Linked DNA regions of Mus musculus. The protein of the gene in region 3 purifies or fractionates together with the protein of the main gene of each other region. This does not show direct contact. Links are inferred from orthologs where the notes say so. Each region holds a gene or a part of one and is shown on either strand. Other genes may lie near its edges. The genes, in order: Nop58, Rrp9, Fbl, Snu13, Tgs1, Larp7 and Sirt7.

Evidence for each region.
Region 1: the proteins of Fbl (region 3) and Nop58 purify together in Homo sapiens (affinity purification with mass spectrometry; 7 studies listed by BioGRID and IntAct, counting the BioPlex papers as one, with this or other methods). This does not show direct contact. The link is inferred for Mus musculus from reciprocal best matches to the Homo sapiens genes FBL and NOP58.
Region 2: the proteins of Fbl (region 3) and Rrp9 purify together in Homo sapiens (affinity purification with mass spectrometry; 3 studies listed by BioGRID and IntAct, counting the BioPlex papers as one, with this or other methods). This does not show direct contact. The link is inferred for Mus musculus from reciprocal best matches to the Homo sapiens genes FBL and RRP9.
Region 4: the proteins of Fbl (region 3) and Snu13 purify together in Homo sapiens (affinity purification with mass spectrometry; 5 studies listed by BioGRID and IntAct, with this or other methods). This does not show direct contact. The link is inferred for Mus musculus from reciprocal best matches to the Homo sapiens genes FBL and SNU13.
Region 5: the proteins of Fbl (region 3) and Tgs1 purify together in Homo sapiens (affinity purification with mass spectrometry; 3 studies listed by BioGRID and IntAct, counting the BioPlex papers as one, with this or other methods). This does not show direct contact. The link is inferred for Mus musculus from reciprocal best matches to the Homo sapiens genes FBL and TGS1.
Region 6: the proteins of Fbl (region 3) and Larp7 purify together in Homo sapiens (affinity purification with mass spectrometry; 3 studies listed by BioGRID and IntAct, counting the BioPlex papers as one, with this or other methods). This does not show direct contact. The link is inferred for Mus musculus from reciprocal best matches to the Homo sapiens genes FBL and LARP7.
Region 7: the proteins of Fbl (region 3) and Sirt7 purify together in Homo sapiens (affinity purification with mass spectrometry; 3 studies listed by BioGRID, with this or other methods). This does not show direct contact. The link is inferred for Mus musculus from reciprocal best matches to the Homo sapiens genes FBL and SIRT7.

Annotation. Positions count from the first base shown.
Region 1 is NC_000067.6:59,695,006-59,698,505, forward strand, and holds part of Nop58 (nucleolar protein 58), read left to right. Parts: intron 1-972; coding exon 973-1,094; intron 1,095-3,317; coding exon 3,318-3,454; intron 3,455-3,500. UniProt on the Homo sapiens protein: Required for the biogenesis of box C/D snoRNAs such as U3, U8 and U14 snoRNAs. Part of the small subunit (SSU) processome, first precursor of the small eukaryotic ribosomal subunit.
Region 2 is NC_000075.6:106,483,112-106,485,915, forward strand, and holds the end of Rrp9 (U3 small nucleolar RNA-interacting protein 2), read left to right. Parts: intron 1-7; coding exon 8-100; intron 101-445; coding exon 446-546; intron 547-635; coding exon 636-770; intron 771-854; coding exon 855-917; intron 918-1,099; coding exon 1,100-1,245; intron 1,246-1,328; coding exon 1,329-1,408; intron 1,409-1,965; coding exon 1,966-2,039; intron 2,040-2,140; coding exon 2,141-2,234; 3' UTR 2,235-2,304; downstream 2,305-2,804. UniProt on the Homo sapiens protein: Component of a nucleolar small nuclear ribonucleoprotein particle (snoRNP) thought to participate in the processing and modification of pre-ribosomal RNA (pre-rRNA).
Region 3 is NC_000073.6:28,172,748-28,176,247, reverse strand, and holds part of Fbl (rRNA 2'-O-methyltransferase fibrillarin), read right to left. Parts: intron 1,745-3,500; coding exon 1,562-1,744; intron 1,464-1,561; coding exon 1,356-1,463; intron 1,265-1,355; coding exon 1,170-1,264; intron 394-1,169; coding exon 223-393; intron 1-222.
Region 4 is NC_000081.6:82,044,799-82,048,833, forward strand, and holds the start of Snu13 (NHP2-like protein 1), read right to left. Parts: upstream 2,801-4,035; 5' UTR 2,692-2,800; coding exon 2,689-2,691; intron 1-2,688.
Region 5 is NC_000070.6:3,591,879-3,595,378, reverse strand, and holds part of Tgs1 (trimethylguanosine synthase), read right to left. Parts: intron 1,920-3,500; coding exon 1,742-1,919; intron 23-1,741; coding exon 1-22. UniProt on the Homo sapiens protein: Catalyzes the 2 serial methylation steps for the conversion of the 7-monomethylguanosine (m(7)G) caps of snRNAs and snoRNAs to a 2,2,7-trimethylguanosine (m(2,2,7)G) cap structure.
Region 6 is NC_000069.6:127,550,550-127,554,618, forward strand, and holds the start of Larp7 (la-related protein 7), read right to left. Parts: upstream 2,801-4,069; 5' UTR 2,634-2,800; intron 1-2,633. UniProt on the Homo sapiens protein: RNA-binding protein that specifically binds distinct small nuclear RNA (snRNAs) and regulates their processing and function.
Region 7 is NC_000077.6:120,617,871-120,622,014, reverse strand, and holds the end of Sirt7 (NAD-dependent protein deacetylase sirtuin-7), read left to right. Parts: coding exon 1-34; intron 35-959; coding exon 960-1,058; intron 1,059-1,131; coding exon 1,132-1,368; intron 1,369-1,510; coding exon 1,511-1,591; intron 1,592-1,745; coding exon 1,746-1,852; intron 1,853-2,246; exon of another isoform or gene 2,247-2,724; coding exon of another isoform or gene 2,725-2,866; intron 2,867-2,965; coding exon 2,966-3,167; 3' UTR 3,168-3,644; downstream 3,645-4,144. UniProt on the Homo sapiens protein: NAD-dependent protein-lysine deacylase that can act both as a deacetylase or deacylase (desuccinylase, depropionylase, deglutarylase and dedecanoylase), depending on the context. Specifically mediates deacetylation of histone H3 at 'Lys-18' (H3K18Ac).

The DNA.
Region 1 (3,500 bases), on a different chromosome or scaffold from region 3:
AGAGCTTTGTGTGTGTGTGTGTGTAGTACTAAGGATTAGGCCCAAGGTCTTTCACATGCTAAACAGACACTTTATCCCCAGCCCAAAGAAAAGAATAAAGAAAGTCTCTTTACAAAAAGGTAGATATTAGGAATCAGTGTATACAGTATTAGAAGGCAGAAGAAAATAGCCAGGGTTCTATAAAACCCTTTCATAAATGCCAGGAATGATGATGCACATGTTTATCCCAGCACTTGGAAAGCTAAAGGCAGGCTCACAAATTTGATGCCAGCTGAGGCTATAGACTGCCCTATAAAAAGAAGCTGAATCTTTTTATTTATTTATTTATTTATTTATTTATTTATTCTATGTAAGTACACTGTAGCTGTCTTCAGACACTCCAGAAGAGGGCGTCAGGTCTTGTTAGAGATGGTTGTGAGCCACCATGTGGTTGCTGGGATTTGAACTCCGGACCTTTGGAAGAGCAGTCGGGTGCTCTTACCCACTGAGCCATCTCACCAGCCCAAGAAGCTGAATCTTAACAAACTTATTTATTTCAGAGTAGGATCTCACTTTGTATACCCAGCTGGCTTTAACTCAGGTTGCCCTGCTTTTTCATGCCTCCCAAGTGCTGGGATAAACATTGTGCATCATCATGCCTGGCATTTATGAGGTTGGGGGGGGTTGGTTTTGTTTTTTGTTTGTTTCTTTGATTTTGTTTTTCGAGACAGGGTTTCTCTGTGTAATCCTGGCTGTTCTGGAACTCACTCTGTAGACCAGGCTGGCCTGAAACTGCCTCTGCCTCCCAAGTGCTGGGATTAAAGGTGTGCGCCACCATGCCTAGCCATGAGTTGGTTTTTTATAAAACATTTACACAAATAATTTTTATTTTTTTAAAAATATACCTTTTAAAAGAAATATTTTCTTTCCTTTAAAGTTTACATCAGAAGCGTTCTCAGTTGTAACTCTAAAATTTTCTGTTTTTCTGTAAAGCATTCACAGCTCTGATGGAAGGCAAAATCAATAAACAGCTGAAGAAAGTTTTGAAGAAAATAGTAAAAGAAGCCCATGAACCTCTGGCTGTCGCTGATGCTAAACTAGGAGGGGTAATAAAGGTAAAGTTGGGCTGAGGCTGAGGCTGTGGCTGTGGCTTAAAGGGCAAGGCATGATTCTTCCAGGCCTTTTAGAGCTGCTAAGCCTGCTCTTTGTAGTATTTGTCATGTGTTCTCATAGTTGATGTTTTCCTGTTAGGCAGCATAATCTCAACTAGAAATTGCAAAAACACGTTTTCCCTGTACACTGTAGAAAATAAAGATGGACAAAAATGATAATATAAGCTCTAAGCCAGCCACTCATGCCGTCTGTTCACATTTGTGATGATCCTCATAGAATTTAAACTTTTTTCTGTTGAGTAAAGAAGTGAGTTGATTGGAAGCTTTAGTAGCAGGCATAAAGTACAGAGGGGACTTAAATGGTCTGTGGTGGTGCATGCCTAGAGTTACTTGCTTGTGATATTATAAAATATTGGCCTATATGAGGGAATTAACAAATATATGCGACAGGGAAAGTGTTATGATTGAAACAGTTTTGTTTTTTAAAACAAATTTTTTTCTCCAACATGGAATTTGTGTGCCACAAAATCCAGGGTCAAAAAGATACTTGTTATCTGTGTTTATACTATTCATTAATACTCTTTGGGAGGGTTATTTGAGGGATGCACTTATCCATAGGGAAAAGATAGAAACTTTTTGCTGTTACTTTTGGTTAAAATCCGGTGAGTATATGAGTACCTTGTAATTTTTTTTAAAGATTTACTTAATTATTTTTAAGATTTATTTATCTTATTTATAAATACACTGTGGCTGTCTTCAAACAGACCAGAACAGGGCATCGGATCCCATTACAGATGGTTGTGAGCCACTGTGTGGTTGCTGGGAATTGAACTCAGGACCTCTGGAATAGCAGTCAGCACTCTTAACTGAGCCATCTCTCCAGCCCAATACTTTGTAATTTTAAAGCTAAACAAATGGCTGGAGTGATGATGGGTGAGTGGTTAAAAGTGCTTAGTACACTTAATACACCGGGCTTCAGATCCCATTACCAGCATTACACAGGTCATTACTACCCATCACTCAGTTACAGGGGATTTGATACTGTCTGGCCTTTAAAGGCACCTGCACTTAACTAGTGCACAAAAACTCCCTTTGGCTGGGGCTAGAGAGATGGCTCAGTGGCTAAGCGCACTAAACTACATGGTAGCTCAACAACCATCTGTAATGCAATCTGATGCCCTCTTCTGGGGTGACTGAAGATAACGACAGTGTACTCATATATATAAAATAAATCTTTTCTTTAAAAAAAAATCACATAGGTACATGTGCAGATTTTAAAAGTCTGGAAATCAAATAAAATAGCAGTAGTCCACTTAGTCCAACAAGCAAGAAAAAAACTTCCTCAGATTTAATAATGCTTTGCATCTTGGGATGCAGCCTAGCCAAAAGGGTAATTGGAAGGTTTCTCTATTTAATTTCCATCAACTTCTTAACAAACATACTAGAAGCAAACACTATGTACAGTTGAGAAAAGTATATATATTATACCCGAGATCAATATTGTTTTAAAATACCAGATTCCAATGAGATAGATCATGCTTATCTGTTCTATCCCGGCCTGTGGCTTACAAGGACCAGGTACACCAGGGAGGCAAGCTGGGGCTGAAAGAGACTTAGACTGCGAGAGGTTAATGGAGCCGAGACATGTTTCAGTTCAAGGCCCTCCGTTTCCTAAGAGAGTGTGCTTATAAAAGGGGAAGGCCCATCCCCTCCAGTCCATTCTTGGTGTCTGGAGCCAGCCTATAGGTGATGCGCAGAATAGAATGTTCCTCTGGAATGTATCAGGTGCTTCTCAGCAGGTAGCAGTGTCTTGGAGAGAGCAGTGGCAGCTGGCAGAACAAAAGAAGCCATCTAGGTCGGAAGGCTCCACCTTAGGTAATTTCCTTCTCACTGGCAGCAAGGTCAAAGTCTGGAGCAGCCTGCTTCAGGGCTGAGGGAGGCTCCACTTATCATTTCCGGAGACTGAGGCAGATTGTTCCTGTGAGTTTAAGTTGAACCTGTGAATTCACATTAGTGAATTCTTTTTGGTTTTTCAAGACGGGGTTTGACCAGGCTGGACTCAAACTCAGAAATCCGCCTGCCTCTGCCTCCCAAGTGCTGGGATCAAAGGTGTGTGCCACCTCTGCCTGGCTACATTGGTGAATTCTTAAAAGACAATATCTGAAAACCCACAACGGTGAATTTTCAAGAAAACTTATTTTTCATTTAATGTGAATGTTTTTATAGGAAAAATTGAATCTCAGCTGTATCCATAGTCCTGTTGTTAATGAACTTATGAGAGGAATCCGATCACAAATGGATGGCTTGATTCCTGGGGTAGAACCACGTGAGATGGCAGCCATGTGTCTTGGATTGGCCCACAGGTAAGTACAGAAGTTAAATGTATGCTTACTCATATACATACACATA
Region 2 (2,804 bases), on a different chromosome or scaffold from region 3:
CCCACAGGCCTCTGGCGACCGCAGCAAGCTCATTCTCATTTGGGAGGCCCAGAGCTGCCAGCACCTGTACACCTTCACGGGACACCGGGACGCTGTGTCGGTGAGGCTCTGGGTATTGACCACCTGCCTAGCATGGAAGCCTGCTGGGTGTGCCCTCCTGGGGCCAGGCGCCAGGCCCCAGGCTCATCTACAGAGGCCTGTGGGTAGTGAGTGGTGTGTGTGTAAAGGCCGCGAGTGCGTTGAAGAGATGGGGAGCGATGGAGGGAGACCAGGTTCAGCTGGAACCACAGAGGGCCTGAGGGGTATGTAGCTGTTTGAGGACAGGCAAGCATGTTCCTGGCTCTGGGGGAACAGGTTCCTGGGTCATGTGACTCACTTTCAGGAGAGCCCCTCTGGGTCTACCCTCCGTAGTCCATACCCTTTGACCCCTCTCTGTTCTCTCCAGGGACTAGCCTTCCGAAAAGGTACCCACCAGCTCTACAGCACTTCCCACGACCGCTCTGTGAAGGTGTGGAATGCAGCCGAGAACTCCTACGTGGAGACGCTGTGAGTGTGCCCAGGCAGATAGCACAGGCCCGCGTGTCAGCGAGAGGTCACATGTGACCCTCCCTCCCTGCTTTGCTCTTCCCCTCCAGGTTCGGGCACCAGGATGCTGTGGCTGCATTGGATGCCCTGAGCCGAGAGTGCTGTGTGACAGCTGGGGGCCGGGATGGGACCGTGCGTGTGTGGAAGATCCCCGAGGAGTCCCAGCTTGTCTTCTATGGCCACCAGTAAGGCGGTTTGCTGGGCTGTGGTGGGGCTCTGTGGGCTGGCGAGGGGGCTGGACGTTGCCCCCTCACAGCCTCTCTTTCTAGGGGTTCCATTGACTGTATCCATCTCATCAACGAGGAGCACATGGTGTCGGGCGCAGATGATGGGTAAGAGTCCCTTTCTGATATGTCCGACTGCTGCCGCCACCAGTGCTTCCTGCCTGCCAGGCCCTGGACTTAGCTCATTTTGGATCAGTGGCCACATCCCTCAGCTGGTCTATGTGATTGGTCCTCCCTGCTGTATGCCTTTGTCTGGCTCTGGCCCCTCAGACTATCTTTTTCACCCACAGCTCTGTGGCCTTGTGGGGCCTCTCCAAGAAACGGCCACTCGCCCTCCAGCGCGAAGCTCATGGGCTTCACGGGGAGCCAGGCCTGGAGCAACCCTTCTGGGTGTCATCCGTAGCCGCCCTGCTCAATACAGACCTGGTGGCCACAGGTGGGTGGGTGCTCGGTGAGGTGGGGAGGGGGACTGTGGGTGAGCTGGTATGGGGCTTGCTTACTGACTCTCTGACCTCCAAGGCTCCCATAATGCCCGTGTGCGACTTTGGCAGTGTGGAGAGGGCTTCCGGCAGCTTGACCCTCTCTGTGACATCCCCCTGGTAAGTGGTCCTAAATGCATAACCCTGTCTTTGCAAGACTCTGGAGGCCCATGGAATGAGCAATTTCTGCTTTTCTCACCCAGAGACGTCTATTCAGGGCAAGGCCACTTACTGTCACAGAGCCTGTCCCACTTTTCTCCTCTGTTCCCCAACCCCTACTCCCTCCACCCTGTCCTGGCTCTGTGTACAAGCTGAGTGTGAGTGGGTAGAGGGTGGAGGCCTGCACTGGGCTTGGTTCTCTGTAGTGGGTATTGACTTGAGAACCAGGCTGGGCTGTGTGGAGTTGACTGTCCACACTGGAGTGACCTGTGGGGTTATGTTATGATATGTCACACACTCCAGTGCCTGAGGCAGCTCTTGGCACACTTGATGGGCACTGTCTCCTCAGTCCTTACCATCTCCCTGCTTGGCTGCGGCTCCACTCCTACAGTTTCAGAGAGGAGGCTGGGGCTCATGGGAAAGGGTTGGCACACCTAACCAGTGCACCAGGCCCCTGCCTGCTGTTGGGAGCCGTGGTGACGAATGTTCTGATGTCTTACCATGTCCCTCTCTCTCAGGTTGGTTTTATCAACAGCCTCAAGTTCTCCAGTGCTGGGGACTTCTTGGTGGCAGGCGTGGGACAGGAGCACAGGTATGTGATGGGGGTGGGGCCGAGGGCAAGGTAGCACTGGCCGGTTGGGAGTAGGAGAGGGGTGGCGTGCGTCTGCCTCAGTGGTCATTCATTCTCTGCAGGCTTGGCCGGTGGTGGAGGATCAAAGAGGCCCGGAACTCAGTCTGCATCATCCCACTCCGCAGGCTCCCTGTGTCCCCTGTTGCCGGCTCCTGACACTCTCCCTTATTTAAGTGACTTCCAGGCCCCGCCCCTGTCCTCTTTTGTATTAAAGCCTCCTATTTTAGACCTTGTTCTCCCTTGTTCCTCTGGTTTCTGGGAGGGTGAGGGGAGGGGGTAGGTGTGTGGCAAGGACCAGGAGGTGGCAGAGACCTGGGAGGGACAGGACTCTAGCTAGCTGCTCTCAGCTGAAGGCTTTTGTTTTCAGAGCACTGGGTGGGAACCTCAGCCGGCTCTTGCATGACCTCATTAGACAGCTGCTCACCCATCAGCCAAGAAACTACAGCTCTCCATTCCTTGGGAAGGCTCAAGCCGGGGTCTGAGGACCAATGGAAGCTAGTGGAGCCTACAGTTCAGGCTGACCACATTTCCCTACTGTCCCAGCCCAGGAAGCTGGAAGGGATACCCTGCCCCGCGGTGGGACAAGGTCAGAATCGGGGAAGAGAGTTTCAGTCTGACAGAGCTAGCTAGCAAGGACCCTGCTGGGAAGATGTGTCAAAGGAATACTGCCTGCTTTTACAGATTGGGAATTCTCTCCTGTTGTGGGGTGCAGCAGTGGATGAGGGG
Region 3 (3,500 bases):
AACTGTTTGGTATTTACATTCCTACCTCTGGGTTACTTTAACACTGACTACACTCTCTGGCTCACAACGAAAATCAGGAACCCAGGAGTGGTATTGAAAGAAAAGCTCTGCTTCAAGCTGTCCCTGCCACAGAATGAGGGATGAGTCTGGCTCCATCGACATCACACAGTGCAGGGAAATGGCCAGGCCCAGCTCCCTCATTTCCACCACTTGTCCACTCACCGGGCCGACAATATCAGAGACGTGGGAGACGGTGGTGCCTGAGGCTGCCCCAAGGTAGAGCACCTTGGCTCCTGGCTTGATGTGGATCTGGTCTACGCCGCCCAGGATAGCTGCTGCCAGCTTGGAGCGGAAGGGGTTCCAGGCTCTGTACTCAATTTTGTCATCTCCTTCCTGAGCCAAGAGAGATGGGGACAGAATCAGTGCTGGGTTCTTGTGCAGGACACCATTCCTGGTAACCCTAGGACCCTCAAAAGAAACTGTGCAGTCAAATCACTAAGTAAGAACCAAATGCAGATGTATAGCAGAGACCAGGACTGAAGCTGCCCTGCTCTCTCATGAAGGCTGCTGACTTGGGGAGGGAACAACAGAAAGTAAATACAGAAGTGAAAGATGGAACTGGGCACTAGGCACACACAAGTGCTGGAACAACAGTGAACGGGACACATATCCTGCCCTGAGAGAGAAGTACTCACTGAACTAAGTACAAACCGACACAGGAGATGGTGACAGGCTATAGAGACCACACAAGGAGAGAGGACATGAAACCAGAACAGGGCAAGGAGAATGTGAAAAAGAGAACACGGACCAGGAGGGTGGTGGACACGTTTGAACCAGATATGGAGGTGGAGAGGGAGCCACCCACACCACCCTGGGAAGAACACTCAAGGCACAGTGTGGGAGGTGAGTAAGGAGGCTGACGTCTGGCCACAGAGACAAGGACATGGGAGAGGTAGGGCTGTGGCAGTGAGGACCGCTTAGACAAGTGGGCGATGTCACAGAGCCTCATCAGAAGGAACAGGCAGTACCTGACCAGAGGCAGGTTACAAGGACAGTTTAGTATGGAGCTGGGAACTGGGACAGCTCTGAGGCTACAGCCTGACTTATACATCAAGACATCCATAACAGCAAGAAGACTGGCAACGCTATCAGTTGGGACTTGGACTCACTGAAATAGAGACTCTCTTCTCTCCATACACAGACTCTCCAGGGACCAGATTCTTTGTGACAAGGGCATCCTCCTTTCCGCGACAGATAAAGACACCTGGTGAAGGGAGGAGAGCAGAGTGTGGCTGGGGACAGTGCAGCCATGGCCCACCTCTGGCTTCAGCCAATTCCCTGCCTGCCTCACTCACCTTCATGACGATGCGGCTCCACCATCACATTCTTCCCTGACTGGTTTCCTCTCTTGCCTCCCCGGCCACCACCTCGACCCCGGTTGCCCCCAGACTGGAAGCCCCCACCTGTAAGAGAGAGCTGCAGTAGGAGAGGGAGGCCCCCACATCTTCCCTCCCTTCATCCTTCGAGAACCTGCTCCAACCCCCATGTCAACCTCACTTACCTCGGCCACCGCCACCTCCTCGTCCCCTGAAGCCACCACCCCCTCCGCCTCGACCTCGACCTCCACCGCCAAAGCCTCCTCGTCCACCGCCAAAGCCTCCTCGGCCTCCTCTTCCACCTCCTCTACCGCCTCTGTCACCAAAGCCGCCTCTGCCACCAAAGCCACCCCCACGGGGGCTGAAACCTGTAGCAGAAATGGAAATGGGGATCAGGGCAAAGGAGCTTAAGAAGGACCCTTACCTGTCAGGTCCACAAATGTGAGAAATCAGCAAGGCACAGGCTCTGTGCTCAGGGAAATGTCCTCCACACCCAGAACCCACCCGATGTCCACCACAGAATGGACACATAAAGGAGGCGCAGCAATCAACAATGGAAGTGACCCTCAGTTCTACAACACAGACGGATAAACGGGAACCTCCCAGAAGTGAAGAAACGAATCCCAGAAAACTAAACCCAACCAGAGTTTTCTTGAAAAATGGTATCAAGTACCCTAAGCTGGCAATGAAGTCACCACATGGATCCCGGTTCTCCTGCCGCACTCGCCAAGTACTGTGTTTACAGGCCCAGCACTACAGCCTTATGAGGTACATCAGCGCAGGGCCGCTGAAGGCAGAACACGCCACAGAGCTTTTAATTAGGGGTGAGGTAGAATGCAGATATTCTAGTTTTCTTGGGACAGCGCCACACAACTCATTTTATCCCTTGTGTTAGTGAGCCCCGCACACGCATATGCCCTCACAGCATCTTCCAGACCTCTGGATAAAAGTGCCCCCGAGTCTGATGCTTGAGCTCTGCTCAAGACTGCAATACTCCTCCCCGCACAGGGGGGAAATTAAGGAAACCCCCAAACTGTCCTCTTAAGGATGGGCACTAGTCTAGATGGGCAGGCTAGAGCACACCAGTACGTCAGCTTGGCCTTAACCCCAGGTGTAGCAGACCATGCCTGGGACTCCGGTACTCTACAAGGTGGAGGCAGGAGACCCCAGTGGGGCTCATGATGAGACCTTGCTTCAAAAAAAGAATGGTGGGGCTGGGGGTGCAGCTCAGTAGAAGAGTGCTCAAGGGCTTGCCCCTTACCCCCAGCTACAGGAAAGCAAGCACTGTCCACAGAGCAGTGAGTGGGACTGGACCCAATGCTGTTACCTTAGCTTTTTCATGATGGTTCCCAAAAACTTTTTGGTATTATTGGAGGTGGGACACAAGAGTTTTCCTGAGGGCTGGAGAGGTGGCTCAGTGGTTAAGAGCACTAACTGCTCTTCCAGAGGTCCTGAGTTCAATTCCAGCATGCCGCATGGTGGCTCACAACCATCTGTAATGGTGATGCCCTCTTCTGGTGCATCTGAAGACAGCTACAGTGTGTATGTATGTATGTGTGTGTGTATATATATATTTATATTTATTTAAAAGTTTATCTGATAACACAGCTTGAAGATTAGGGGTGGTTCAAAATGATCTCACTGGATGTAAACTGTCAGGTAAAAACCTGCTCAAATTTTTGTCTCAGTCCTGTAACTATACCCCATCGACAGCATCAAACATTTTTTTGTTTTGTTTTGTTTTTAAAACGTTTATTGCCAGGCCAGCCATGGTGGCACATGCCTTTAATCCCAGCACTTGGGAGGGAGAGGCAGGCGAATGTTTGAGTTCAAGGCCAGACTGGTCTACAGAGTAAGTTCCAGGACATCCAGAGCTACAAAGAGAAACCCTGTCTCAAAAAACAAACAAACCCTTTATTGCCACCTTTTAAAAACTTTGTGAACATTAGTGTTTTGCCTGCACATTTATCTGTATGTGGGTGTCAGATCCCCTGGGGCAGGAGTTACAGACAGTTGTGAGCTGCTATGCGGGAATTGAAGCCGGGTCCTCTGAAAGAGCAGCCAGTGCTCTTCACTTTCAGCCTCCTTTAGCTGTGTTCAGAGTCCAGGTCTCACTACCTATCC
Region 4 (4,035 bases), on a different chromosome or scaffold from region 3:
AAAAATCTAAAAAGCAAACAAAGGGTGTGTATGTTTTGACTCAGTGAGATTAGATTGTAAGAAAAGTTTCCCTATTATTATTAGCTACTGAATTTAACATTTGTTTCAAAAAATGAATGAAATAATGGCGTGCAACTGCACAGACAAACACTGGTGGGGTGGGATGGTACACCAGTGTACACCAGTGTAGTCCTAGCACTGGGGAGGAGGATCTATGCAAGTGTGAGGCCAGGCAGGAACACAATGAACCTGTCTCAAAATACGGTAAAAGAAAACTACTGGGGCTGGTGAGATGGCTCAGTGGGTAAGAGCACCCGACTGCTCTTCAGAAGGTCAGGAGTTCAAATCCCAGCAACCACATGGTGGCTCACAACCATCCGTAAAGAGATCTGACTCCCTCTTCTGGAGTGTCTGAGGACAGCTACAGTGTACTTACATATAATAAATAAATAAATAAATAAATAAATAAATAAAAAAGAAAACTACTGAATTATACTGGAAACAAAAGCCCTTTATGGCACCCAGAATGGAACATTTAAATTCTATTTTTATTTATGTATTAATGTACTGGGTTCAAATTTTCATGGTGTCTTCTAAGCCTTACTTATTCCATTTCTTTGGCTTTATCACTGGTTTTCACTATTTTCTCCCTCTACTGGTTTGAATTGACTTACTTCTCTATTCTTTTTTCCTCTACAGAAATTTGCTAGGTTGCCTGGGCTGGCTCTGAATTCCTGTGCTCGATCAAATAATTACTTTCAAGTAATCTGACCTGCAAATGCACGCCTAGCTTTACCTCTAAGGTCTCAAATGTTAAAAAGCAATTCAAGCTGGGCAGTGGTGACGAACGCCTTTAATCCCAGCACTCCGGAGGCAGAGGCAGGTGGATTTCTGAGTTTGAGGCCAGCCTGGTCTACAGAGTTCCAGGACAGCCAGGGCTACACAAAGAAATCCTGTCTGGGGGTGGGGAAGCAATTCAACAGACTACTGGATTAGTTTTGTAAATTTTTTTCTGGGATGTCAGAAATTGAATTCAAGGCCTTGATCATGCTAAACAAGCAATGACCTTTTGGAGACAAGGCTGGCTAAAAAGCCCAGGCTAGCAAACTTAAATCCCTAGGCTTAATCAATTTGGTCCCCGCATCTACCTGACAGTGAAACATACAAGATTTTTGATTTGACAAATAGTGCCTAAAAATGACTCTGTCAACAAGGGCATGTTTAACCTAAAATTCCAACAGAGCTGAAAAGAAGCCAGTGATACTAGCAGCCTTAAGTTCTAGCTAAACACCTTATTAATGTTGTAAACTCATCAACTGTAGGATAGTTGTAATCGGTGGTACATCGAATTATGTAGTGTTTGATGTTACTGCTCTGTTACTAGTCTATATTTCCTGGTTTTGTGTATTAGAGAAACGTTACTGCAAGCAGTACATCTGCTATGGCAGCAGCCTCCTGGTCTAATCAGGAGGATCCAAGAATGATGACTGACCAGCCTTGGTGTAGTGGCACACACCTGTAAGCCCAGCATTCTGGAGGCCGGCCAAGGCAGGGAGATCTCATGTCCAAAGCCAGAACTCGCCCGTCCTTAAGCGATGCATGTTTGTACTCCGCCTGCTACAAGCGACCCGTTGTCCCCACTTCCCAGCCTAGACAAACTGCTGCAGAGTTCACCAAGAGCACCGCACTTCAAAACTCTTCCCTGGTTCAACACTGGCTCAGCCACTCTCTCTCTCTCAAACTCTAGACTCGGTCAGTAGTTGCTAAACCTCAGGGGTGGGAGCACGAAAACAAAGCCGACCACCCAAGGGCTGGATGAAATCGCACCAGGCCTGAAAGGGCTCAGCCAAACGGAGCCCTGTACACCATCACAAAGTGGAGACGCTCAAACGCTATCATCCCACGTGGGGCTACCAGGACCACGGATTTCTGAAGGCGTCGGTCGCTCTCATGGTGGGAGCCTTTCCTGAGCTTCCTTCACATTCCATGTGACCCCAAATTTAAAAAAGGAGGCGAGGGTGGGGTGGTGGTGGTTACCTAGTCCGGAGGGCGCGATGGTACGCGCCTTTAATCCCAGCACTGGTGAGGCAGATCTCTTGAGAGCTCAAGGCCAGCTTAGTTTACAGAGTTCCAAGGCCAACCAGGGCTCCATGAGCCCCTAAAAACAAACTAAACCAAAAAGCGCCCCCGAATTCCCTAAGTCTTAGTTCCCGACAGACCCTGGCTGCGGACCCCACGGCGATCCCCTTCCTCAACCCCGGGAGTGGAGAAGACGTGGGTAGTGAGTGCCTCGCATCCCGGGATTTCACCTCATCCCCCAGTGTTTAAAAAGAAAAGAGAAAGAAAACGAGAAGGAGAACAGACGGGCTTCCACACGCGTTCACCATCCCACGTGGGGCGCTCATTTTCCCACGCTGCGCCATGCCTGTCCCCTCGCCGCGGCCTCTGGGCACGCCCACGGCTGCAAAGCCCACCGGGCCGCAGCGACCTGGGACCTCAGCTGCCCGGGATCTCCACTCCGCCGCCCCAGGAACGACCTCGCGGGCCGCCGGAGTTCCAGCCCCGGGCCTGGAGGTCGGCCATCTCGGGGCGGGCGACATGTCGCACGCGCTCCACCTCCCCCAAGACGCAGCGAACAGGGCCCGCGGCCCGCGCTCCCCGTGCTTGCGGCCCGCCGCGCTCACTCACCATGGCTGCGGTGCGCCGGTCTCGCCGCGACTCGACGACAGCCCAACTCAAGAGGGACTGAAACGCCGCGCAGGAAAAAGGAGCGGAAATCACTTCAGAAGCGGCAGGAAGCGGAAGTGACGCCACAGAGCGCGCGCAATGACGGCGTCCCGCCCCCTTCCCGGAAGAAGAGAGTGCTGAAGTCATCTTTGGATGTGGGAGATGCGTTTTTTCAGATTTTATTAGCGTTCTAGTTAGGATCGGCAAAAGATTGTGAATAAACCACTCGGGAAGTGGCACACTAGTACAACGGGTTGTGAGGGTTGCCATTTCATAACCAGGCTTTTTTTTTTTTTTCGAGACAGGGTTTCTCTGTGCAGCCCTGGCTGTCCTGGAACTCGCTTTGTAGACCAGGCTGCCCTCGAACTCAGAAATCCACCTGCCTCTGCCTCCCAAGTGCAGGGATTAAAGGCATGCGCCACCACGCCAGGCTTTTTTTTTTTTTTTTTTTTTTTTTTTTTTTCTGAGTACATAGTGTACCCTTTTCAAAACCATCCTCTCAGGCGGAGGTTGATTTCTACAATTAGCTGGAATAATGCAGTGGTTGTGAGTCTCTTGGGGAGTGTGTGTCAAAAGACCCTTTCCCAGGGGCCGCCGAAGACCATCGGAAGACACGATTCATAACAGTAGCAAGATTACAGTTATGAAGTAGCAACGAAAGTAATTTTATGGTTGGGGGTCACCACAACATGAACTGTATTAAAGAGCTGCAGCAATGGGTAGGTCAAGAGCCATTGGACTAGGGGGCTAGTTAGTGAATGACAGGGAGGTTGTGTTTGGAGTAATTATGTAGGACACCTGCTTCCTTCTTCTGAGCATCTTGCCCCTTTCTTAGTGATGCACCAAAACTTCGTTATGAAAGGATAAACTCAAGTCTAGCGCTCCCTCCCATGAGCTCTTCCGTGATCCTCGTGGCTTCTCAGTCTTTTCCAACATGATGCCAAACACATCTTGGGGCTATTTGGATCTAGCCCAGACCCCACCATTAGAGCCAATTTCAGCTCATTGTGTCACAACTGTAGAGCTGAGAACTGGGAGGACCTTTAAGAGCCTTACAAAATAGTTCCTCATTTTTACAGATGAGAACAAAGTGTAAAGAAGGGAAGCCTGCCCACTGTCAGGAATCAAACAGTGGCAAAGCTAAAACCGGACCTTGAGATTTTTAGCATTGGGGGTCAGGCAACCACATGGATTCAAACTGCCAACAGGAGGGAACATTTCTAGAGACTGGCGAGATGCCTCCCTGGTTCAGCACACTGGCTGCTCTTCTATAGGATATGGGTTCAATTCCCAACACCCACATGGCAA
Region 5 (3,500 bases), on a different chromosome or scaffold from region 3:
CCCATTTTAGGAATTTTTCTACCTGAAATTTTAAGATACCATAACAAACACAAATTAACTATAAAGAAAATAGAATTTTCTCACCTTTTACCATTTGTGACTTGATTAACAAGCTATCAAAATTATTAGCATGAAGTACAATGTATCAAACAAGCTACAATTATGGGCTATCTGGAATTTAGGGGAGCAACCTATGATCTTATTAAGAATTCTTTTAAAAGAAGTTACATGGCATCAACAGAATGCCAATTGTCTTTAAAATAAAATCAGAAGGTGCAGGAAAGATACATGAGAGCTGCAGAGACAGCTCAGCAGACAGAACCTGGGTTCTGTACCCAGCACTTACATGGCACCTCACAACTGTTCTGTCCCAGGAGATCTGATGTCTTGTAGACTACACAGGTATCAGGCATACACACATACACAACAAACACATAAGTAAATCTAAAAACAAAACACAACCCAAATTAGAGCTCTCTCAGAAAGAATAAGTAAGAATAGCAGAGCTGGTAGATCTAAGTCTTTAGATGCTAAGATATAATAGCAGCCCAAGTTTGGATGAGTTACTTCTTTGCACTTGCTGTACAATGAATCTTCTCTGTCAGATCTTTATGATCTTGAGAATAACTTTCAGAGAAAGGCAGAGAAATGATAAAACCTCACACTGAGGAGAAAGTGCCACCTATCTGTACCCAAGAGAACTAAGGTCATAGCGGCCACTATATACAGATGTTTCTATATTCCTTTGTAGGTGAAACGTATGGAAATTATTACTCTGAAAACATTCCAAAGTCTTGAGAGACTGACACTAGGCAGTCTACTTCAGATATAAAAAAGGTCACTAAAATAGTCATTAAACTATAACTAGCCTTGACCAGTCTGAAACACTGAAACACACACACACACACACACACACACACACACACACACACACACACTGAAAAATAAACTACTAATTTGTAGCATGCTTTGCTAGAATGCTGCAGTCAGAAGCAAGTGAAGATACAATAAAGTCAGACGCCGGAGATTGTGCCTCCTGCCTTTAAGGGAGCTGGTGGCAACACCAACGATAAGAAGGCTCTGATCATCAGAAATGCCCCATCCCCAGTAGAAGGATAACTCACCCAATCACATGATGTTCTAATTCACTTATTTTCTATTTCCTTATAGCAAAGACTAAGAGGGATCAGGTTACAGTGTGACTCTATAAAGTAGGCTTGTATTTTACATTCTGGGTCAAGCCTATTACTTCAAAGTATGATCAGTCTTTGGATGAGCTCAGAATCCAGGCTTCCAGTTAAAACCACAGCAGAATCTGTACTGGGATCCTACTTTGTGTAAAACAGGTAAGAAAATTGCCCCTGTCCTTCTATGTACTACACGGGCAAATCAATCTAACTGACTTATCTTCTTAGATGCCCAAACATTTTAGTTTTCAAACACCCCTTTTTTTCATATTACCTCAACTTCTTTCCCTATTCCTCAAATCCAGTTTTCATAATATATAACTTTGTAAAGCTAGTGGTAATTTATTTGCTGTATCCTTCAATCTTGCAGGGTGGAACTTTTCATTTGAACACAACTTTAAAGAGCCAAGCTATAAACCATAATTGTGTCTCAACTGAAGGCCTTACTCCTTACTTTACCTACTCTGTACTTTACTCTTACACACCTTACTCCGTACTTACACACCTTACTCCGTACTTTAAACTCTTGCACACCTTACTCTGTACTTACACACCTTACTCCGTACTTTACTCTTACACACGACAAAAGGTTTCCCTGAGTCCTCGGTGAACAGGATGTGCTTGCTCTTCACAGGCATCTGCTTGCGCAGATCCAGGTACTTTGATTTGTATTTCACATTCTTCTCTAGATACCTGACCTGTCGATGGCTGAAATTTGGAATTCCACCATATCTAAATCAGACCAAAAGAGATGATTCACCTGTTAAAAAATTTCTCGTATAGGGGAAAAAAATATCAAAAAACTCCCAAACTAACATCCCTCCCCCCAAATCCTCAAATAACTTTTTACTACTACTTGTTAGTTATTGCTATCACTTAATCCTAATAAATTTTGAAAATGATAAAATCACATGCTACCTGCAGAAAAGGTTATGGTTTAGTCTTTATGACAATTTAAAAGCAAATGTGAAGGCAAATCTGAGTCTGTGGACAGCCTGGTCTACAGAGAGAATTCTAGGACAGCTAGAGCTATACAAGGAAACCCTATCTCAAAAAAATAAAATAAAAAATAAACAAACAAACAAAAAAACCCAAACAAAACAAACCAAATAAGCAAAAAACCCCAAACCCCAAATACTCCTCCCGTAAAAGCCAAAAAACCCCAAACACCACCACCTCCCTGGCCCCTAAAAAAACCCCAAAACCAAATGTGAAACACCGATGATAAGTCTAACAAGGTTACTTTTTCCTGTTTGAGATAGATTTATACCATATAGCCCAGGTTTGCCTGAAATTCTTCATTCTCCTGTCTCAGATTCTTGAATGCTAGCATTCCAAGTGTGGCATCACAACAAAAATACATTGCTAATGTAGATTAGAAAGTAGAAATTATGTAGCAGACTGCCATAAAGAGGGCTAGCAAAAACTAAACAAAAGCATACTTCCTTGTTGGGGTAATTTTTCTCAGCGTGATGACAAAGCCTTACACACATCAGCCCATCAAATTAATGCTAAGAATGGTTACTGAATGCCTATAGAGTAAATCTGATCTAACTGAGTTTCTATCTGCCAGAAAGTTTCCAGGCTCCTCCCAAATGTCCTCTTTGACTCATGTTACCCTAAGTTAAATTCTAAACAATGAAATATCTCCATGAGTGTATACTACCAAGAGCCAAATAACAGTTTACATAAAATCAGTGCTTCTAATAATGTGAACAGGCTTTATATATACTATTAAATTCTATCCTTTTTAGTTTAAAGTGACTATACAAACTACTCCTGACTTCAAGCCCTCAGGCAGGTGACTTGAAGCCATTATAGGATTATAAGCATGTACTTTTGAATTAGTTTGGAGTCAATTTACACATTAATCATGAGGCATTTCTCACTTTCTTTTCCTACTAAATTCATGATACACAGCTTATTTAAATTTCCTAAGATACGGTCACTAAGACATTAAGTCTGAACCCTTAGAAACATAAAACCTCAAAGAATGGGATTAACTGACCTAAATAGCACACACTGAGGCTGTTTTATCCACTCAGTTCAGTCTTCCTGTCCTGAGATGTAAGTTACTCTTACATAAATATCTACTCATTCATATTTCTTTTTAACCTTTGGGCATTCAATCCCAGAGAATACTTAGGTTTCTACAGACAAATGTTCACAGCAGCTTTACATATAACAGCAAAATACAGAAAAAAATCCAAAGGCCATTTAAAAGGCAAATGGTTAAATGATTTTTGTTATTTCTGTATCTCCATAAAATGTGCTGGCTACCCCATCAAAGAGGAGGAAAGAACAAATGGGACG
Region 6 (4,069 bases), on a different chromosome or scaffold from region 3:
ACACACACACACACACACACACACACACACACACACACACGTATATTCCGGTATACACACATACATTCATACATACACATGTATATTACATAAGTTTAAAAAAAGACTCGCAGGCTGGAGAGATGGCTCATCAGTTAAGAGCACTGACTGCTCTTCCACAGGTCCTGAGTTCAATTCCCAGCAACTGCATGCTGGCTCACAACCATCTGTAATGGGATCTGATGCCCTCTTCTGGTATGTCTGAAGACAGCTACACTGTACTCATAAACAAAATAAATCTTAAAAACAAAAACCAGCCAGGTGTGGTGGAGCATGCCTTTAATCCCAGCACTCAGGAAGCAGAGGCAGGTGGATTTCTGAGTTCGAGGCCAGCCTGGTCTACAAACTGAGTTCCAGGATAGCCAGGGCTATACAGAGAAACCCTGTCTTGCCCCTACCCCCCCCCCCAAAAAAACAAAAAAAAAACCCCAAAAAACAAAACAAACAAACAAACAAAAAAAAACAAAACAAAACCAAAACCCAAAGGGGGAAAAGCTGCCATGGAAAACATGATGCCATGTTATTTTTACCAATCTTTCACTAAATCCTATCAATTTCATCTTTGAAATGGCTCTTACCCCCATTTAATGTTTTCTCCATCTGCTATTAGAATATGAGTTTATAATTGCACTAGAAGTCACCTATCCTTTACAGAAGTTTGTGTCACCTGTCCATAATACTCATATGGTTTATGATGGTTATATTTTATATTTTTGGGAGTGAGCCTAGCTTTTCATGGCTGAGCTATCTTTCTAGTCTGTGAAGGTTATTTCTAAACTTGAAACATTAGTGATTCTGATAAGTTTTTCTTTTTTCTTTTTTTTTGTAGTGTCATAAATATACTGCTAAATGAATGTGGTGATACACAACTTTAATACCAGTACTTGGGAGGTAGAGGCAGGTGGATCTCTGAGTTTGAGGCTGGCCTGCTCTGCAGAATTTCTGGACAGCCAGAGCTACATAAAAAATCCTGCCTCCAAACAATCAAACAAACAAACAAACAAACAACATCCACCCACAAAACTCACAGTCTTGGAACAAAGAAATTACTGTGAAGCAATGCCAGATATTTATATAGATAGATAGTTTTAAATCTTGACAATCCTACTTGGTCGTTTCTTTCCCCTTTTCAAAGGGAGGCTGAAAGGTTATGTAATTCAGTCAAAACTAGGTAGGTAAGCAAACCGAGGTGTTTGACTCTTACACTGTCTACCGTTTAGTAGAAGCTACACTCTGTCAGCATTCACACTATATTCTGACCCAGGAATTTCTTTTTTGGGGGGTGGTGGGTGGTGGTTTCAAGACAGGGTTTCTCTGTATAGCCTGGCTGTTCTGGAATTTACTCTGTAGATCGGGCTGGTCTCGAACTCAGAAATCCACCTGCCTTTGCCAACTCCCAAATGCTGGGATTAAAGGTGTGCGTCACCACTGCCTGGGCTGTCCCAGGAATTCTTCATCTGACCTCCCTGACACTTCTGGGAGTTTAAAGACATCTTAGGAATCCATGAGATGTTATAAGACAAACTTTTAAACAAAAGGTAAAATCATGCTTATACAAATATAAAGGAATATGGTAAATTTAAGTGGAACTAGTCTGTTTAAAGGAGAAAAGACCAGATCAATATGCAGCATAAAGTCAAAATGAATGTTAACATATACTGGTCAGGGGCAATGATTGGGCAAACATGGTTTTCATCTTTATGTTTTCAACAAGTTACAAAGTTGCAACACTGCCCAAAGACAGTGAATGTCACAGATAATCTGGAAGTAAGCTGTGCTAGATGTAAAGCAAAAGACCATTTTTTTTTTTTTAAATTTTAAATCAAAGGTTTTGTTTGTAAAATCACATACAAAATGTTTCCACAGGTACATGTAAAATTTTCAAAGGAACTCGACAATAATATTTTCCAGGCTTTAAACAAAAAGAAGAGTACCCAAAAGATTGAGAACCAAAGTTGTAGTCACGGCAAACCCTTTAGCGGTCTGGAACTTTGCTCCAAATAATCTTTTAGTGTGAATGTTTTATGAAGTCATTCGGTTTCCCACCACCGCCCGGCTTCGAAAGACTACTAAAAGGCAGTCTTACTTCTTGAGGATTTCCATTCTCAATGAACTCTCCACTCATATTTCTCCTTAATTTCTCATAAACGCACTCAGAACTTAAATTCATTACTGTTAGCCCCTTCTACAACGGCTTTTTCTATAGAGGGACTAGCAAAAAGAAAAGACTGAACTTTAGAATGCAAGTTCTCACAACTGATGTCCTTTGGGAAGACAACCTGCCTAACACCCACAGTTCCTCTGAGCAACCCTACTTCCGCACAGACTCCCCCCCCCCCCCCCCCCCGCAGCCGGGCGTGCCCCAAACACCCCAACCCCAAGCTCGGCCCGCCCCCTCTGTACTGAGCTCCGAATAGCAGGGGCCGCCAGGGAACTGCGCGTGCGCACAACGCACGGCGCCAAACCAACGGCACAGTGGCGACGGGGGCGGGGTGAGGCGGACCGCGGATGGAGGGTGGCCCTCAGGAGACCCGACTGAGAGGAGTTCCCACCTCTACGGGTCTGAGAGGCTCTGCAGGCCAGTAGTGACTTACTCCGTGCTCGTCCCCAGATCCACGGTCAGCGCTTGTGTTCTCCCACGCTTTCCTTCTCCCGACCCCTGCGGTCGGCGGAAATTTGCGTCATTCGAGTAGCGACGCGCTTCTCTCAGCCCGCTACGGAAAGACGGGTCCGAGGCCCAGGGTTCGTTGCTGACGTCATAGGCGGAGCATCTCGGGGGCGGGAGCCACGCGGTGACTGCGCTGGCACGCGGAGTTCCATTGGTGGTTTGCGAACGGCGGCGGGCGGGGCCTCCGCGGTACCGTCCCTGCTTGATGACGTCACTTAAGTTGGCGGGAGAAATTAGAAAGTGGAGTTTATGTCATTGAGCCGGTGAAGTGGAGACTTTTCTCTCCCGTGTTCTAGGCAAGAAGGGTGGACAGACCGGGCGACTTGGCGCGGTTGGGAGAGCACTGGACACTGACTCGCCTCCACGGAAGCGACCCACGAGGCGCCGTTAGAGTGCCGGGTGAGGCGGTCACCATAGCGGCCCATCCCGGTTGTGGGTGTTTTAGGGGCTGACATAGGACCAAGGGGGCCATTATTATTTAGTGATACAAAACCTTGAAGTGTCAAGGCTTGGCAAGTGAAGCTATGTTTCTTTTAGGGATCTGTACTGTTCCTTGTGGTTTAGCAGGCCGTTCGTGGTTTGGAAACTTTCCTGGTTTGAGCGGTGCTGTTCTGAGCTATTGTGACAGTTTTTCATCACTGCAGAGGGCCAGATAGAAACTGTTGTTGGGCTCCAGAGCTGGACTTCCTAACGTAATAGATCAAGAATAGGACCTAAAAGAATAGGACCTAAAATGTTCATTGCTAACTAATTGTCAGGTCATGTCCCTGGAACCACTTGAAGATATGTGTGCTTATGTGTGCTGCTTTTGCATCTGTATTCAGTTCACCATCGACGATTTCAAGATTTCAAAATTTGACCTTATAGTTAACATGGTAGTTACAGTGGCTGCTGCAGCACTGTCCAAGAGATTTTTCTTCCTGGGTGTGGTGGCATATTGCTTGTAATATCCCAGCTATTTCCAGAGGCTAGGACGGGATTGTGCAATATGGTCAGATCCTATTTTAAACAAACATAAAGGACTGGATGCATGTAAGCACTATTACCTAGTTTACATATAGTCCCTTTTGTCAGCCCCTAGCACTGGGTAAAAGAAAGAACAAAATTTTCCTTGCAGAGGAATTATATATTGTATATTTGGCTCTAGGATGTTGTGCTATATTGACTAGGGTATATAGTCAACCCTCTGTACCTGTAATTTCTGGATCTGTATTCAGCCAGTTATAGATGGGAAATAGAAAAAAGTTGTTAGTACTGAGCATACAGATTTTTAAATTATCATTTTTATTTCTTCCTTTTAGACAGTGTCTATCTATGTAGTTAGTCCTGACTGTCCTGGAGCCCTATAGGTAGACAGGCAAC
Region 7 (4,144 bases), on a different chromosome or scaffold from region 3:
CATGAGCATCACCCGTTTGCATGAGCAAAAGCTGGTAAGAAAGCCGGCCATGGTGGCGCACACCTTCACTCCCAGTGCCTGGGAGGCAGAGGCAGGGGGAGTCTCTGGGTTCATGGACAGCCTGGTCAAGAGTGAGTTCCAGGACAGCCATGGCTGCACAGAGAAATTCTGTCTTGGAAAAACAAAACAAAAGAACAAACAAAAACAAAAAGCTGGAAAGAACCCAGAGCTATACCTCAGTGCCCAGGTGGGAAGCCATCCTGCCTCCTAGTCAGCCCTGTGATAGATAAATAGTCTAGTAGCTCGGACATCTGTGTGCTCCCTGCTCTGCTTTCTCTTCAAGAAGAGTAGCTGTAGCCGGGCGTGGTGGCGCACGCCTTTAATCCCAGCACTCGGGAGGCAGAGGCAGGCGGATTTCTGAGATCGAGGCTAGCCTGGTCTACAAAGTGAGTTCCAGGGCAGCCAAGACTACACAGAGAAACCCTGTCTCGGAAAAAAAAAAAAAAAAGGAAGAATAGCTGTGGTATTCAGGTTCCATTCAGGGCCTTTAGACGACAGCCTAGCTTCAGAGGAGACTCAACAGAAACTTCCAGAGATCCGCTGAGCAAGCGGGGAAGCAGATATGCCTGGGATTTGGGGGAAGGGACATGAAAGATGATGGATGACCCAAGAAGTTATCGATCCAAGGTGTGTGTAGTCCTGCCCACCCTATGTGACCAGTGCCCCAAACTGCTGCTCAGCTTGCAGGACCAGGACAGATGCTTGCCCTCCTAGCTGCTCCCAGTACATTAGAGTTAGTAGAAGAGAAAGAACATGGCGCCTTTCTACCTCAGGGCTTTCCTGAGTTGCCTCCTTGTTTTAGGAACCTTGTCCCTTGTCTCTGGGCTTAGAATAACTCCACTGCCGCAGGGTGCTTCCTCCTGCCACCTTACTTACTGCCACCACGTTCTGTCTTCCAGGTGCAACACGTGGTGTCTCAGAACTGTGATGGGCTCCACCTGCGGAGTGGGTTGCCCCGGACCGCCATCTCAGAGCTCCATGGGAATATGTATATTGAAGTGAGCAGTACCGAGGGGGACCCGGGGCCTGGGTGACAGGCAGATCTCACTCACTGTGCCCTCTCTGTCCCAGGTCTGCACCTCCTGCATCCCTAACAGAGAGTATGTACGAGTGTTTGATGTGACTGAGCGTACTGCCCTTCACCGACACCTGACAGGCCGGACCTGCCACAAGTGCGGGACCCAGCTTCGGGATACCATTGTGCACTTTGGGGAGAGGGGGACATTAGGGCAGCCTCTGAACTGGGAGGCAGCGACCGAGGCTGCTAGCAAAGCAGACACAATCCTGTGTTTAGGGTCCAGCTTGAAGGTATGTGCCGACCATACCATGAACTCGTTGTGGATTGAGCATGTTGCTGGCTTGCCTCCCCAGAGCCATCAGCCGTGAGCGGGTGGTAGGTTTGCGTCTTACTCATCCTCCTCTACTCTGTTGTGTCTGCCCGCTGGAACAGGTACTAAAGAAATATCCCCGCCTCTGGTGCATGACGAAGCCTCCAAGCCGTCGACCCAAACTCTACATCGTGAACCTGCAGGTAACAGCGGGTGCTTAGAGCTTCCTCCTCAGACCCGGGGCTCAGATGGGAAGAGCCGGGGAGATCCTGAAAGTCTTGTACAGGTTCCATTGTGTTCCTGGGGAGTGGTGAGCCAGTCTGCCGGGAGGCCCTCATCTGCCTTCCTTGTCTTTAGTGGACCCCGAAGGATGACTGGGCTGCCCTGAAACTCCATGGGAAGTGTGATGATGTCATGCAACTCCTCATGAATGAACTGGGCCTGGAGATTCCTGTCTACAACCGGTGAGTGGGCGCAGCGTGCCCCCTGCATTCCTGCCCCGTCCCTCCCCTCCGTGTGATGGGCCGTGTCTGTCTGCTGTGGGCCTCAGAGGGACTGGCTGAGGCAAGGCTCCACCACACGTGCACACTCTTCCCCCCTGACTGGTACGGTGCCCAGAATCTCTGAGGGGGATCTGCCAGTGTGCTCTACAGGATGCTCCCACAGATGGTGTGCAGCCTGGGTGGACAGCCGAGAGGGGTGAGAACTGCAGCTCTGGTCAGACACAATCTCTGTCCTTGGTGTGGGGATATTTGGGGAAAACTGAAGCAAATTGCCTTGATACAGAATTGTGATAATTTAGACTTGGTGTGTATATTGAGTGAAAAGTTTACACTTTCTTTCTCTGTGAATTTTCAGGGTCTTATAGGGGAAATCAATAACTTCTTTTAATCAAAGGGTTCAAGAAATTAAGGATCCCTTCACCTCTGGGCCTGGCAATTCTTGTATGTTATGTTTGTGGTGTTCTGTGACGTGGGCCTCTCCTGTGCCACATTGTTGATGTTGTTATTGGTTGTTGTTGTTGTTTTTTTTTTTTTTAACATTAACTTAGCTCATTTTTTAATCAGTGCTTACTTTTATCTTACGTTTATAATATGTGGTTCTACATTTCAATCAGACACATGATTTCTTCATGGTGTAGTCTGTAGGCCACACCTCCCCAGTCAACCGGCCTCTTCCCGCCCCCATCCCTGTCACGCAGTCTGGGAAAGGGAAAAGGGTCTGGTCCATCTGCCCCTATCCATACAAGTGAGAGACGGGGCCCAGAGTTGCTAGCAAGTTATCCTTGGAGGTGAGGCCATCCTGTGGCTAGCACTACCCCTTCCTATGTGTGCAGCTCCCACCAACAGTGGGTGAGACAGAAGAGGCTGTCGAGCGAGGGCTGCTGCTGCCCTGAAGACTTTCCCCTGCAGCTTGGTGTCCCCTGCAGCTTGGTGTCACTGACGCTGCTTCCAGCCAAAGCCCAGATTAAGACATAGGTGGGATGGCAGGTGGCCTCAGACAGCTTTCCTGTGCCTGGGAGGGTTGCGATTCGAGGGGTTTTCAGACCTGCCTGATGCTGCTTTTCTTTCTGTTAGGTGGCAGGATCCAATCTTCTCCTTGGCGACCCCCCTCCGTGCTGGTGAAGAAGGCAGCCACAGTAGGAAGTCACTATGCAGAAGCAGAGAAGAAGCCCCACCTGGGGACCAGAGTGACCCCCTTGCCTCAGCTCCCCCTATCCTAGGAGGCTGGTTTGGCAGGGGTTGTGCCAAGCGTGCAAAAAGGAAGAAAGTGGCATAGCCCGGAGTTGACAAAGAACAGTTGGCACTTTGCAGATGGCTTGACCCTTGTTCAGGGGCTCCGCCCGTGTCGCCGTGAAGGCGAGAGTGCCCCCTCCGGCTCTAGTGGGTGCCGGCTTCGCGGTGACGGTCGTCTTTAGCCATTTGTCCTTGTGGAAAGGCTCTCTTGCACTGCTGTGACTGCCCCGCTATGGGCTTGATCTTCAAGGACACCTCCCTCCTGTTCACCCCTGTACAAAGGTGGCAGCAAGGCCTCTGTGAGAAGAGCTCCGGCCCTTCCCAGGCCTGGCCAGCAGGAGAGTCCACCACTGCCTTACCTCACTCTCCAGGCTAGTCTCAGGGCCTCCCTCTTTCTACTCCTTATCACGTACAAGTGTTCACTTTATAGAAGCCTTTTTCTGTATTGGGTATGCGGCACAGGGAGAATCTAACTAAGCCTCCAGTCTGAGCAAGTCTTATTAAACATCTCTCAATTGCTTTGGTGTCCCGATGACTGTCACACGCACCACCGAGGTGCCTGCATCTGAGGGCCTGCATCGAGGCGCTTTTGAAGAACCCAGCCCCTGAAAATGCTTTTGGTTGGTTGGTTTTTTTGAAACAGGGTTTCCGTGTGTAGCCCTGGCTGTCCTGGAACTCATGAGATCCTCCTGCCTCTGCCTCCCAAGTGCTGGGATTAAAGGGGTCGCCACCACTGCCCGGCTCCTAAGAATGCTTAAGGCACGGGGTGAGCTGCACGCACAGTTGTGGTGCTAACCTGCCCCGTTCGTCTGTGGAGAAGTCAAATGCCAAAGCCCGGGCACCTGCAACACAGACCATTGGCCGCTCGATCTGGGCGGAGGGGGGTGTGGCCCGGCTGGGGGCGGGGCCCTGGTTGGCGCACGCCATTGGCTGCGCCAAGCGGGTGAGATCCGCGTGAGCACGCGCAAGCGTCGAGGGCGGGGCGACGGTACTGTGTGTCGCGGGAGCCGCCAGGATTTG